2 separate regions of the Mus musculus genome follow, and region 1 is reported to be linked to region 2. Evidence: microRNA targets listed by miRTarBase, many of them from high-throughput screens and not tested one by one. Region 2 holds a microRNA gene; the other region holds the end of a gene's coding sequence.
The links. Region 2 holds the annotated microRNA mmu-miR-484 (UCAGGCUCAGUCCCCUCCCGAU, at 1,857-1,878, shown strand). A microRNA usually pairs through its seed, bases 2 to 8, with sites in the 3' UTR of a target mRNA and lowers its output. Matches are read on the target gene's strand: a 7mer-m8 pairs with bases 2 to 8, a 7mer-A1 pairs with bases 2 to 7 and ends in A, and an 8mer does both.

Region 1: the mRNA of Bckdk is a reported target of mmu-miR-484. Seed matches in the 3' UTR shown: 7mer-A1 at 3,461-3,467.

What each region holds. Positions count from the first base shown.
Region 1 is chr7:127,907,693-127,913,064 of GRCm38, reverse strand. It overlaps Bckdk (branched chain ketoacid dehydrogenase kinase), which reads right to left. Exons shown (of 12, transcript NM_009739.3): 11 at 4,986-5,144; 12 at 3,401-4,898. The coding sequence ends at 4,754. It overlaps Kat8 (K(lysine) acetyltransferase 8), which reads right to left and starts at 548. Exons shown (of 11, transcript NM_026370.2): 1 at 323-548. The coding sequence starts at 533.
Region 2 is chr16:14,157,774-14,163,145 of GRCm38, forward strand. Mir484 (microRNA 484) reads left to right here and starts at 1,853; the gene lies at 1,853-1,919. Marf1 (meiosis regulator and mRNA stability 1) reads right to left here and starts at 1,501. Exons shown (of 27, transcript NM_001081154.2): 1 at 1,371-1,501.

The sequences.
Region 1 (5,372 bases), not on the chromosome of region 2:
AAGAGAAATGTAAAGACAGACAACAAAACACCAATGAAGGAACAGATATAGCAAAAAAAAAAAAAAATGAAGCCTGAAATCGAACCAGAGTGAATGTTCACAGGCCAACTCTGTATTCAGCTGACTGGTGGCTTTACAGGTGAAAACAAGCATGGCCTGACTCCAACCTCCAATTACAAAGTGGGCTTCTCAGCTCCCGAAATCCCGCCTTCTTACCTGAGTCACCACCCTGGCCCCAAGACTCCCAGCCCCACAGAGCGCCCATTCCTAGGCCATGCCCATTCCCTAAATCCCGCCCCTAGGCCCTGGGCCCCGCCCTCACGCCAGGTGCTATCCGGCCGCCGGCACAGGTACGTTTCTCCGATCTCCACGGTGACTTCTGGTTCGCCACGCGCCGGAGTCGGCGGAGAGACCCGGCCCGGGGACCGGGCAGGCCCCTCGACTGCTGCATTTTCCCCCGGGCCGGGCTCTCCCTCCCCTACAGTTCCTGAAGTTGTTGCAGCAACTGCAGCTGTAGCTCCCTGTGCCGCCATTGCTGTGCCGGAAGTGACCGGCCAGAGAGCCGCTTTTATTTCCGGATCAGTGGGGGCGGGCATAGTCTTGCGTGTTGGAGGTGGGGAGGTTGTGACGTGGCAAGGTTTTGTTTTGTGCGTACTGCGTGTGGCTGTTGTTGCTAAAAATTGGCCCAACTTGAGACAGGGTCTAATTACAGTCCTAACTGACCTGGAACTCGCTATGTAGACCATACTGGCCTCGAGATCCACCTGCTTCTGCCTTTTGAGTCCTGGTATTTAAAGACGTGCACCGCCACACCCGGACTTAGCTATTTTTGTGGAGTTGTTTGTTGTGACATAGCCCGGGCTGCCTACACACTTGCTGACCTAGCTCCTCCTGCCTTGGGTTCCCGAATGCTGGGATTAAAGGCGAGCATTCCTATTTCTTGAGAAAGGTTCTCAGAGGCTAGCCTGAAATTCATTGAACGTGCAGCAGTATCCTGGGGATTACAGTTGTACTCTATCACTGAATTAAGTTTTATGGGATGCTTGGGGCCAAAACCCAGGGCTTTTTATATGCTACCCACTCTATATTTGCGTCTCTCGCTCAGGGTGGGAGCAAAAACCAGTTGAGACAGGAAAAGAACAGGTGTGCCAAATAAACTACCTTCAAAATAAACTTACTCACTCTTTCTCTCTCTTTTTTTTTCAAGACCGGGTTTCGCTGTGTAGCCTTGGTTGTCCTGGAACTCACTCTGTAGACCAGAAATCTGCCTGCCCCTGCCTCCCATGTGCTGGAATTAAAGGCCTGCACCACCACTGCCCGGCAACTTCTTTTCTCTTAAGAATTTCATGTAGCGGGGCTGGAGAGATGGCTCAGCAGTTAAGAGCACTGACTGCTCTTATGAAGGTCCCGAGTTAAGACCCCATGGTGGCTCACAACCATCCATAACAAGATGTGACACCCTCTTCTGGAGTGTCTAAAAACAGCTACAGTGTACATGTATTTACATATAATAAATAAATAAATCTTTGAAAAACAAAAACAAAAAACCTCGAGCGTGGCCAGGGAGAACCTTGAGTGGTTGTCTAACCTCCACCTTTCAAATGTTGAGGTTAGGATGGCACCACACCAGGTTCATGCACTGCTAGAGATTGTACCCGAAGCTTCATTAATGTTAGGCAAACACTACCACTGAACATCTCCAGCCAAGAAGGGTTTGAGCAGGGAGACAGTGCCTGGAGAATCTGTAGTGACACTCCTCCAAGTACAGAATACCAATTCTCTGAGACTCAGTAAAGGTTAAACCATATATACATATGGTTAAGTCATAGCTTTATATAAGCTATATAGCAGCATTCAAGGTAAACTTATTGGTAGATGAATTGGAGTAACACATGTCTAATTTGCTGTTTAACTTCACCTTTCTACACACACACACACACACACACACACACACACACACGTGTTTTCCTTAATTACTGTATTGGGGCACCGGACACCTTTAATAGCTTGCCCAGTGCATACTACTTTAGGAACTGCGTTGTGGGCGAACTAGTCGATGAAAAGAAGCAGCACTGTAAGACCTTTGTTTTTTAGGGATGATAATGCCAGCCAGTTCCTCCTTAGCTGGCTTACTGGAATAAAGCTCCTTTTCTCACGCTCTATTGTTGAGACTGACTGGCTCCTGCCACATGGTTTTACGTACCCAGCATGCACTGGTAACTTTTACAGTAGCACACAACAGTGTGTTGAGTCAGAGTAGGGCTGGATAAACATCTCATTTAGACATTCTCTGAAAGTTCTTTGATTCATAATTTGGTGATCAGTTTTCATAAGGTTTCTTTTTTTTTTTTTTTTTTTTTTTTGGTTTTTCGAGACAGGGCTCCTCTGTATAACCCTGGCTGTCCTGGAACTCACTCTGTAGACCAGGCTGGCCTCGAACTCAGAAATCTGCCTGCCTCTGCCTTCCGAGTGCTGGGATTAAAGGTGTGTGCCACCATGCCCGGCTTTCGTAACAGTTCTTGAGAGGGGCAGCTTGAGGTCAGAACTCAGACACTATGGTCCAAGAAATATCTGACCGTTGTGTATCTATGTGAGATGGCATTGGGAATAGAATAGATCCTTTTGTGTGTGGCACTGAGGGAAAGCTGGCTGGATGATTCGGCATGCACTGCTCTTGTCGACAATCTCAGCTCTGCTTCCACAGCAAGCAGCTCACTACTGCCTGTAACTCCAGCTCTAGGGGATTCGAAACCCCTCTGGACTCCACAGGCCATCTACAGCAATGAGCACAAACCCACAGGTAGACACACATACAAAAAATAAGAGAGAAGGCACTAGGAAAAACTGGTTACTTTGCTGTTGGGCAGTAAAGAAGTTCAGAGCAGGATAATACCAGGTGCCCGGCACCCTAAGAATGAGAAGATACAACCAAAGGACACCTCCCACTCTAGCCCTCTTCAGGATCATTACAGCTTTTGCCCAGGCTTCTACCTCACTTGACACTTCACCTGACATCTTCAGATGATGTCCTTCCTAAGTAAGGACTAGCCTAGGCATAGTAAATACACCATGCTGTCCCCATGCCAGGGCCAACCATGATTAACATGTAAATCCAACTGTTTTTTCCAGAACTTGGGGGCTGTGCTGAGACACCCTCTACTTACTGTTATTGTGTTTATGAGTATGAACCTACATGTGTGCAGGTGAGAAGACTTGGCAGGACTCACGTAGTCCTCTCCTGCGATAAACTCTAGGAGATACCTTAGTGGCAGGTGCCTTTACTGCCGAACCATGTCGCTGGGCCCGGATGCTTTTTGTTGCTTCTGATGCTGTATCTGTGTTGTTGCTCTCTGTGGTTAACCTGTACTTTCATTCCTTTTTTTTTTTTTTTTTTTTTTTTGGTTTTTCGAGACAGGGTTTCTCTGTATAGTCCTGGCTGTCCTGGAACTCACTCTGTAGATCAGGCTGGCCTTGAACTCAGAAATCCGCCTGCCTCTGCCTCCCAAGTGCTGGGATTAAAGGCGTGTGCCACCACCCCCGGTCTGTATGTACATTCAAAGACTAGAACATGAGGCTCTTCTCTGACAACTACCCGTTAAGACAGGGTTTTGCCAAGCAGCCCAGGTTGGCCTTGAACTCGTGATACTCCTATGTAAGCATCACTAGTACTAGGACCACAAGTGTGTACATTTGATTCTACCTGGAAAGGCTAAAGTTTTCAGTGTAGGAATTTCTTCCATCCCAGCGTCAAGTGAGGGAACTGGTTACCATGGAGCCTCACTCTCTTATGTGTACCTGAGGGACAGTGGACTAGCTCTGGACTTCTCATTACAAGTCATTTCCTTGACCTCTCCCCTTTCCTTTCCTGCTTCTCCTACTCCCTTTTGGGAGTCCTACCAAGCAGGTCCGTAGGTCTTACACAGCGGGGAGAGTTACTCTTGGTTCAAAGTTCACCTAAAGTTCTGTTCCACACACTTCTGGTCACCGTGCTTTCTGCCCAAGTCCCTGGTCCTCCCTAAGACAACTTCTCCGTATCTGTCTGAGGTAATCAGGTCTCTGCATAACCTCATGCAATTCTTTTTGCAGCCACAGTGGGCAGGCAGTATTTTTAACCTCATGCAAGCTCAGGAATCAGGTGGCTTACAGACTGCCCAGTCTAGTGACCTTTACCTCTCAAACCCACGGCTGCCAGGAAGGGAAGAGTCGGGCCTGAAGCTAAGTCTTTTGGGGCCTCTGATAGCGTCTGGGGCCCAGAAAGACTTGTTCAATGAGCCCAAGTTGCCAAAGTCACTCTCACTCTTGCCAAATCAAATAGGCAAGAACCTTGAAATCACTTCTGCCACAGTGCCAGGACAGCCAGAGACTGGACATGACCAGGTTAACTCCCAAGGCCTAGGGAATCCAAAGGGGGCAGAAACAAAGCTCGCCTGCCCTCCCAACATTTGGGGCCCAAGAGGGCATTCAAAAATGCAAACTTTAATAAGCAGCAGGTCAAATGAGGAGTCCTCAAGAATGAGCAGAGCAGAGCTGGTATCAGAGGCCTCAGAGGCACCTGCTTCCTCCCCCCAAGGCCGGGAGGTAGAAAGCAGTGAGCCCTGCTGAGGAGGAGTGGTGCCCAGCTCCATCTAAGTCCACCTGTCTGAGGCCCTAAGCTCCATAAAGCGAAGTGGCAGTCTGTGGAGCCCAGCGGCCCCCTGCCAGGCCTAGGAGGTCCTCCGAGGAGTGTGGCAGGCTAGCCGGCCAAAATCCACCATTAGATTCTGAAGCTTTCCTCCCGACCATCAATGTGGCGGAGCCGTAGGTAGACATCCGTGCCAATGCCCTGCAGGGACTGCAGCTGCAGGGAGCCACCAAGATACTCTGCATATGCCCTGGACGTGGGCAACCCGAAGCCAAAGCTGGGAGCAGGGGATAGGATAGGGGTGTCAGAGGCCTGCGAGTCCTGGTTTACCCCTTCCCCCCATATTGGGAAGGTGGGGCCTTACCCATGCATAGGTCCTGACTGGCCACCACTGTGCATATCCAGGTGGCCGAAGAGGGGGTTGATTCGGGGGTCCTGGGTGCTGGCCTCAGCTGTGGTGAAGTGGTAGTCCATGACCCGATCCAGGTCCTTATGAGCGATTCCTCCACCCCGGTCTGAGATCCTGGCAGGATGTCAAGAACATGGACTTGGTCAGGTCTAATAGGTCTCACCCTAAGCATACAGTGCTGGGTCTATTCCTATTGTCTCTAAAGGTGGAATGTGACTTTATCATCTTCTACACTCACATCTGCCTGGGCCGCAGACTGCTTCTACTGTCCCATACAATTTGACATTAACTTTTACTCTCAGCAAACACCATCTCCCAACTGCAGGTTCCTCCGCTGGCCCC
Region 2 (5,372 bases):
TGCTTAAATCTTTCAAAGCCAAATCCTAAAATGAACTACCATATCTACCACTTCACTGAGAAACAGAAACGTTTAAAATAAAGTTTCATAGCTAGCTTCAGGTCAAAAGGCTCACCTACCTCTTTCTACACCAAGGTGCCTTCAATATTGCTCAAAGAGCCAGGAGTGGTAGCTCAGGAGGCAGAGGCAGGAGGATATCTGCAAGTTTAAGGGCAGCCAAGTTCCAAGCAGCTGTGGTTACACAGTGAAACTCTGTCGATAGATAGACAGATAGACAAGGCAGGCAGGCAGGCATATATAGACAGATTACTCAGTTCAAACAAATATAAGGAAAAACATTAGTGGCCTGCAGCCTAAAAATTTCCCAAATATTCCTAGGAATTCCATTTAAGCAGCCGAATCAGTCAGGGGAAGTTCTAATGTGAGAGAGTCTTCCTTTCTGAAACTCAGTTTCTGAGCAACTTAGACAGTGGCTGAGAATGCAGTGTGCAACATTGTACTGCCTGCATGTTGGTTCTGAAGGCCACCTATCTGTGCTGCTGTGGGCATGTCATCTTTATAAACATAAGGCCCATCTCTTGTGAGTCTAATCATCATAGCAACCCCCTCACTTATTTATTTGTAGTTTGGTGACAAGAGATACCTGAGGATGAATTATTTCCCAAATGACCTCCCCCCTGCCACAAACTCCCAGTCCTATGTATTTGCTCGTCTTCTACCTTTTAACTAAAATGACTCTTTTTTCTCCAATAGAATATAAATTCCATAACAATATTGACTGTATGTGAATATACGGTATCCCAACCTTCCAACTCAACTGTGCCTCACAAATATCAATAAATGACCCTGGACAAATGTAGAGCTCACTGAAGGTGAAGAAAGACCATTTAGCTGACAATTTCCTTGTATGCAAAACAGAAAGATCCTGGAAAGTCCAAAAGATACTAGTGCAACTAGAAAGCACCACGTTCGTGCTAGAATTAATTGGGGAGGTGGCTGAAACTGAAACTGCATCCAAAGTGGCTATTAAAACAAAAACAAAAAAACAATAAGGGACTCAGCCACACAACTGTCCTTTTTCTCAACTTTCCAACTTTGCACATCCTGCGAAGGTTGCTACTGACACCTGGAGGGCCGGGGAGCGAGCAGGAAGACAAGCGCCAGCTGGGACTAAACGCCTCGGAAGAGACCGGGGGAGCACTGGAGAGCGACTTTTTCGCACGGCCCCTTCGGCAAGTCCCAGTCCCGGTCCTTCAATCCCAGAAGCATCAGTCTGAGGGGGGAAAAGGCGTCGTTTCCAGACCAGCTACGTTGCTGATCAGAGCATCCGGTACGCCCTAGTGGAGTCCCGGCACTGACAGAGGACTCACCTCAGCCACTAGCTCCTTCTTGGCTCACATTCCGACACCGCCGCCTACCCCCCACCCCCCCCAGGCCCTTTATTTTGATTCCCGACTCCGCAGCTCCCGCCGCCGCCGCCAAGCGCTCCCTCCACTTCCGCTTCCGCCCCGCCCCGCCCCTGTCGCAAAACCGATACGCTTCTCTACTACTAGCCCCGCCCCTCTCTCCGAGCCTCCCTGCCTCACCTCTTCCTCCATAATACCACACCCTTCCTCTGCTCCGCCCCCTATGGCCGCTCCCTTTCTCCGCCCATTCCCAGCCCGTCCCCACTCCGCCCAGTCGCTTCCTCCAGTAGCCCCGCCCATTCCCCCGTCCCTCCCTTCCCCTTTCTGGCTCCACCCCTCCCTGAGTCTCGCCCAGTCTTTTCTTTCGCCCCGCCCTCGCCTCCGCGTATTTCTCCGCGCAGGGCACGCTGGGAAGTGGGGGGGGCGGGGCCTCGCGGCCCTGCAGCCTCGTCAGGCTCAGTCCCCTCCCGATAAACCTCAAAATAGGGTCTTACCTAGGGGGCTGGCGGCGTATTTTTTTTAGCAGGAACCCCAGTTTAGGAGTTCTCACTACTGGTTTGATGACGCCATGTCGAACGGATCTTCCAGGCGAAGAACTAGGGAGCTTTTGTGATGGAGTCAAGGAAAGGCTTGCCAGATGGGATTTGTTAGGGTTCCGCTCTAAAAGGTCTTGGGAGCGAGGACTAAGGAGAGAAGATTAATGTGAAATAAAGTATTAATGCTCTGCCTCGTCACGTGATAACCCTTATTTTTACAAATTAAATCGTGCACGTTGCACTGCATCTTTTAGCGCAACCTAGTGGCCAGTGGAGAAAGAACAGTTAAACCTGCCAAATGGGCTTTTGGCAAAGTCCTCCCTACCTATAGCAGTTTCAGTGCTGATCAAGTACATGCAAAGACTGCTGCTGAATATTGACACCAACAGTTAAGAGTACATGATATCCTTACCCAGTTTTATTTTTTCTTTTCAGAGACAGTGTCTCACTTGTGTAGCCTTGGGTTGGCCTGGAACTTGCCCCGCAGACTATGCTGTACTCGAACTTGCAGTCCCTTGCTTTCTGAGTGCTAGGATTAAAGGAGTTTGTGTCACCTGGCAAACGTTTTGTTTTAATAAACCTAGTGCTTTGTAACCAATACTTTTCAGATGACAGGTTGGCCACGAAAAAGAAGATGCTAAAGTTATAAGAACTTTGTGAAATCAAAAATACTTCATGTTTTAAACAGATAAACTGTTCTGTATCCTCGCTACCCCTATCCCCAACCCCACTGAGCCTTGAAGGCTTCACTTTTACTTGACCTAAATATGAGTTGGGTTTTTTTGTTTGTTTTTCCAGACAGGGTTTCTCTGTGTGATAGCCCTGGTTGCCCTGGAACTCTCTGTACACTAGCCTCAAACTCAGAGATCTGCCTGCGGTTGCCTACAAGTTCAAGAAGTAAAAGCATAACCTTTATTTAGAACCATGCCTGGCTTAAATATGAGTTTTCAGGATTCCATAGGGGGAAAGATAATTTCTGAAATTTCTAGCTCTTTGCTGCTTTCTGTTACAAGTTAGGAAAAAAATATAATCTAAATGTAGGCACAGTATAGAATGTCCTAGCTGGTTATTACTTTAAAATAGTTATACTTAAAAGTCTGCCAGAAGCCGGGCAGTGGCGGCGCACGCCTTTAATCCCAGCACTTGGGAGGCAGAGACAGGCAGATTTCTGAGTTCGAGGCCAGCCTGGTCTACAAAGTGAGTTCCAGGACAGCCAGGGCTATACAGAGAAACCCTGTCTCGAAAAACAAAACAACAACAACAACAAAATTAAAAGCACTACCTACTATTTAATAAAAGTAGGTTTCAACTTTTTGCCAGAAGTAGTGGCACAGTTCCAGGGCAACTAGAACTGCACAAAGAGACCCTGTCTCATTAAAAAAAAAAAAAAAACCAACTTCCTTTTTTTTTCCTTTGCTCAGTAATAATCTTCACATTTATGAAACAAAGATAACAGAGATTTATTATTGGTGTTTCACTGGATACTTTGCATTTGATTCAACTCCCCAAAGACCTAAGTTACTAAACAGAGTTCTCCTCTACCACCCATGAGGACAGGATCAAAGGAAGAGAAGTCAAACTCTCAGCTTGGTCACAGCACAAAAGCTACAAACAAAATGAACAGAATTTTTTTTTAAAAAAAAAGAGCAAAGCCAACTACAGTAGCCCAGGACTTTGATCCCAGCTCCTTCAAAGGTAGAGACAAAATTACAAATTCAGCTTATCCAGGCTACAGGGTGAGCTTAGGTCCAGCCTGGGCATCTTAGAAGGAATTTGACTAAAAAAAAAAAAAAAAAGAAAGAAAGAAAGAAAGAAAAAGAAAAGAAAAGAAAAAAGGGGGCTGAAGGTATAGGTCAGTGGTAGAGCATTTACCTAGAGTGGGTAAGGTATTGAGTTCAACCAACAAAACTGAGGAGAGGGGCAGGGGGCAGGGGGCAGGAGGCATTACTTGTGTAGCCCAGGGGAACAGAACATGATTGTAAGAGTCAAAAAGAGCCTTCTGAAGCTCCTTTTGTTAGGTACAAAATCGAAACACTTGGATTTCCTGTACCCTTTTTCTCATCTTTTAAACAATTCTAGGAGGCTGGAGATACAGCTGAATGATACAGTATTTGCTTAACATGGCCAAGGGCCTAGGTTCAAGGCCAACACTGCCAGAAATGTAAGCTAACTATGCCTTTCTCTGGCTTCCCAGTCTCTAAATAGTCTTCAGCAACATTTGGCATCTGAAATTCTGTTTCCGTTTACTGTATTAACCCTTTAAGATCAGATTCTTTGTCTTAGTCACCAGGTTGTAAAATTACCTGTGCCTAATAGTATTTAATAATTAATGAACAATTAATGGCTTAACGTTAAGAAATTATTATTAGCTGGGCCTGTGATCCCACTGAAAAATAAGGCTAAGGGAATACTCAGAAATTTGAGGCCAGCCCAAGTTACATAGGAAAAGTGTTTCAAAAAAGGAAAAAACAAGGGGCTGGAGAGATTGCTCAACAGTTAAGAACACTGATCTCCTAGAGGTCAATTCCTAGCAACCATATGATGACTTTTTTTTTTTTTTAAAGATTTATTTATTTATTATATGTAAGTACACTGTAGCTGTCCTCAGATATCCCAGAAGAAGGCATCAGATTTCGTTATGGATGGTTGTGAGCCACCATGTGGCTACTGGGACTTGAACTCGGGACCAGTCGGGTGCTCTTAACCCCTGAGCCATCTCGCCAGCCCTGTTTGTTTGTTTTTCAAGACAGGGTTTCTCTGTGTAGCTCTGACTGTCCTGGAACTCACGCTGTAGACCAGGCTGGTCTCAAACTCAGAAATCCGTCTGCCTCTGCCTCCCGAGTGCTAGGATTAAAGGTGTGCTCCACCACTGCCCGGCTTATTTACAAAGCACTGCACAAAGTCTTGTAAACTTATTTATTTAGCTCGGGGGGGGGGGGGGGGGACGACGACGACGACCATTTTATCCACGAGTAATTAAATACCTTGTTTCAAATACACATAGCTAGTAAGCGGCGGAGTTAGGATTCAAAGTCAAGTTCTTTCACATTAAACTATTCTGTCTCAGAAGAAGCCACAACAGTTAAAGATTCTATTTGGGGTGTAAAGTTGTGGAATAACAAGGGTCCTGTGGGCTGGGCGGAAGTTTGTCGTTCTCTATGCCTGTTTTTGTCTTTGTGCATTCTGGGCTAGTATAGCATTTTTGGAATCGGGTAGGGCACTTACAAGTGTAACCCAATATCAGCTATTCCTAATGCCCGGGTTTCTCCGACCAATTGCTCCTTTGTCTATTCTTGGGCAAGAGCAAGAGCAGATAAATGCAACCAGTGTGAAGGAGAGGCGTGCGGATGTTCCAGAGTGCGTGGCACGGCGAGTACCGAGCCGCCAGCAGGCCCTCTCCACGCCCGCCTTCCGGGCCAGTGGCCTGCGC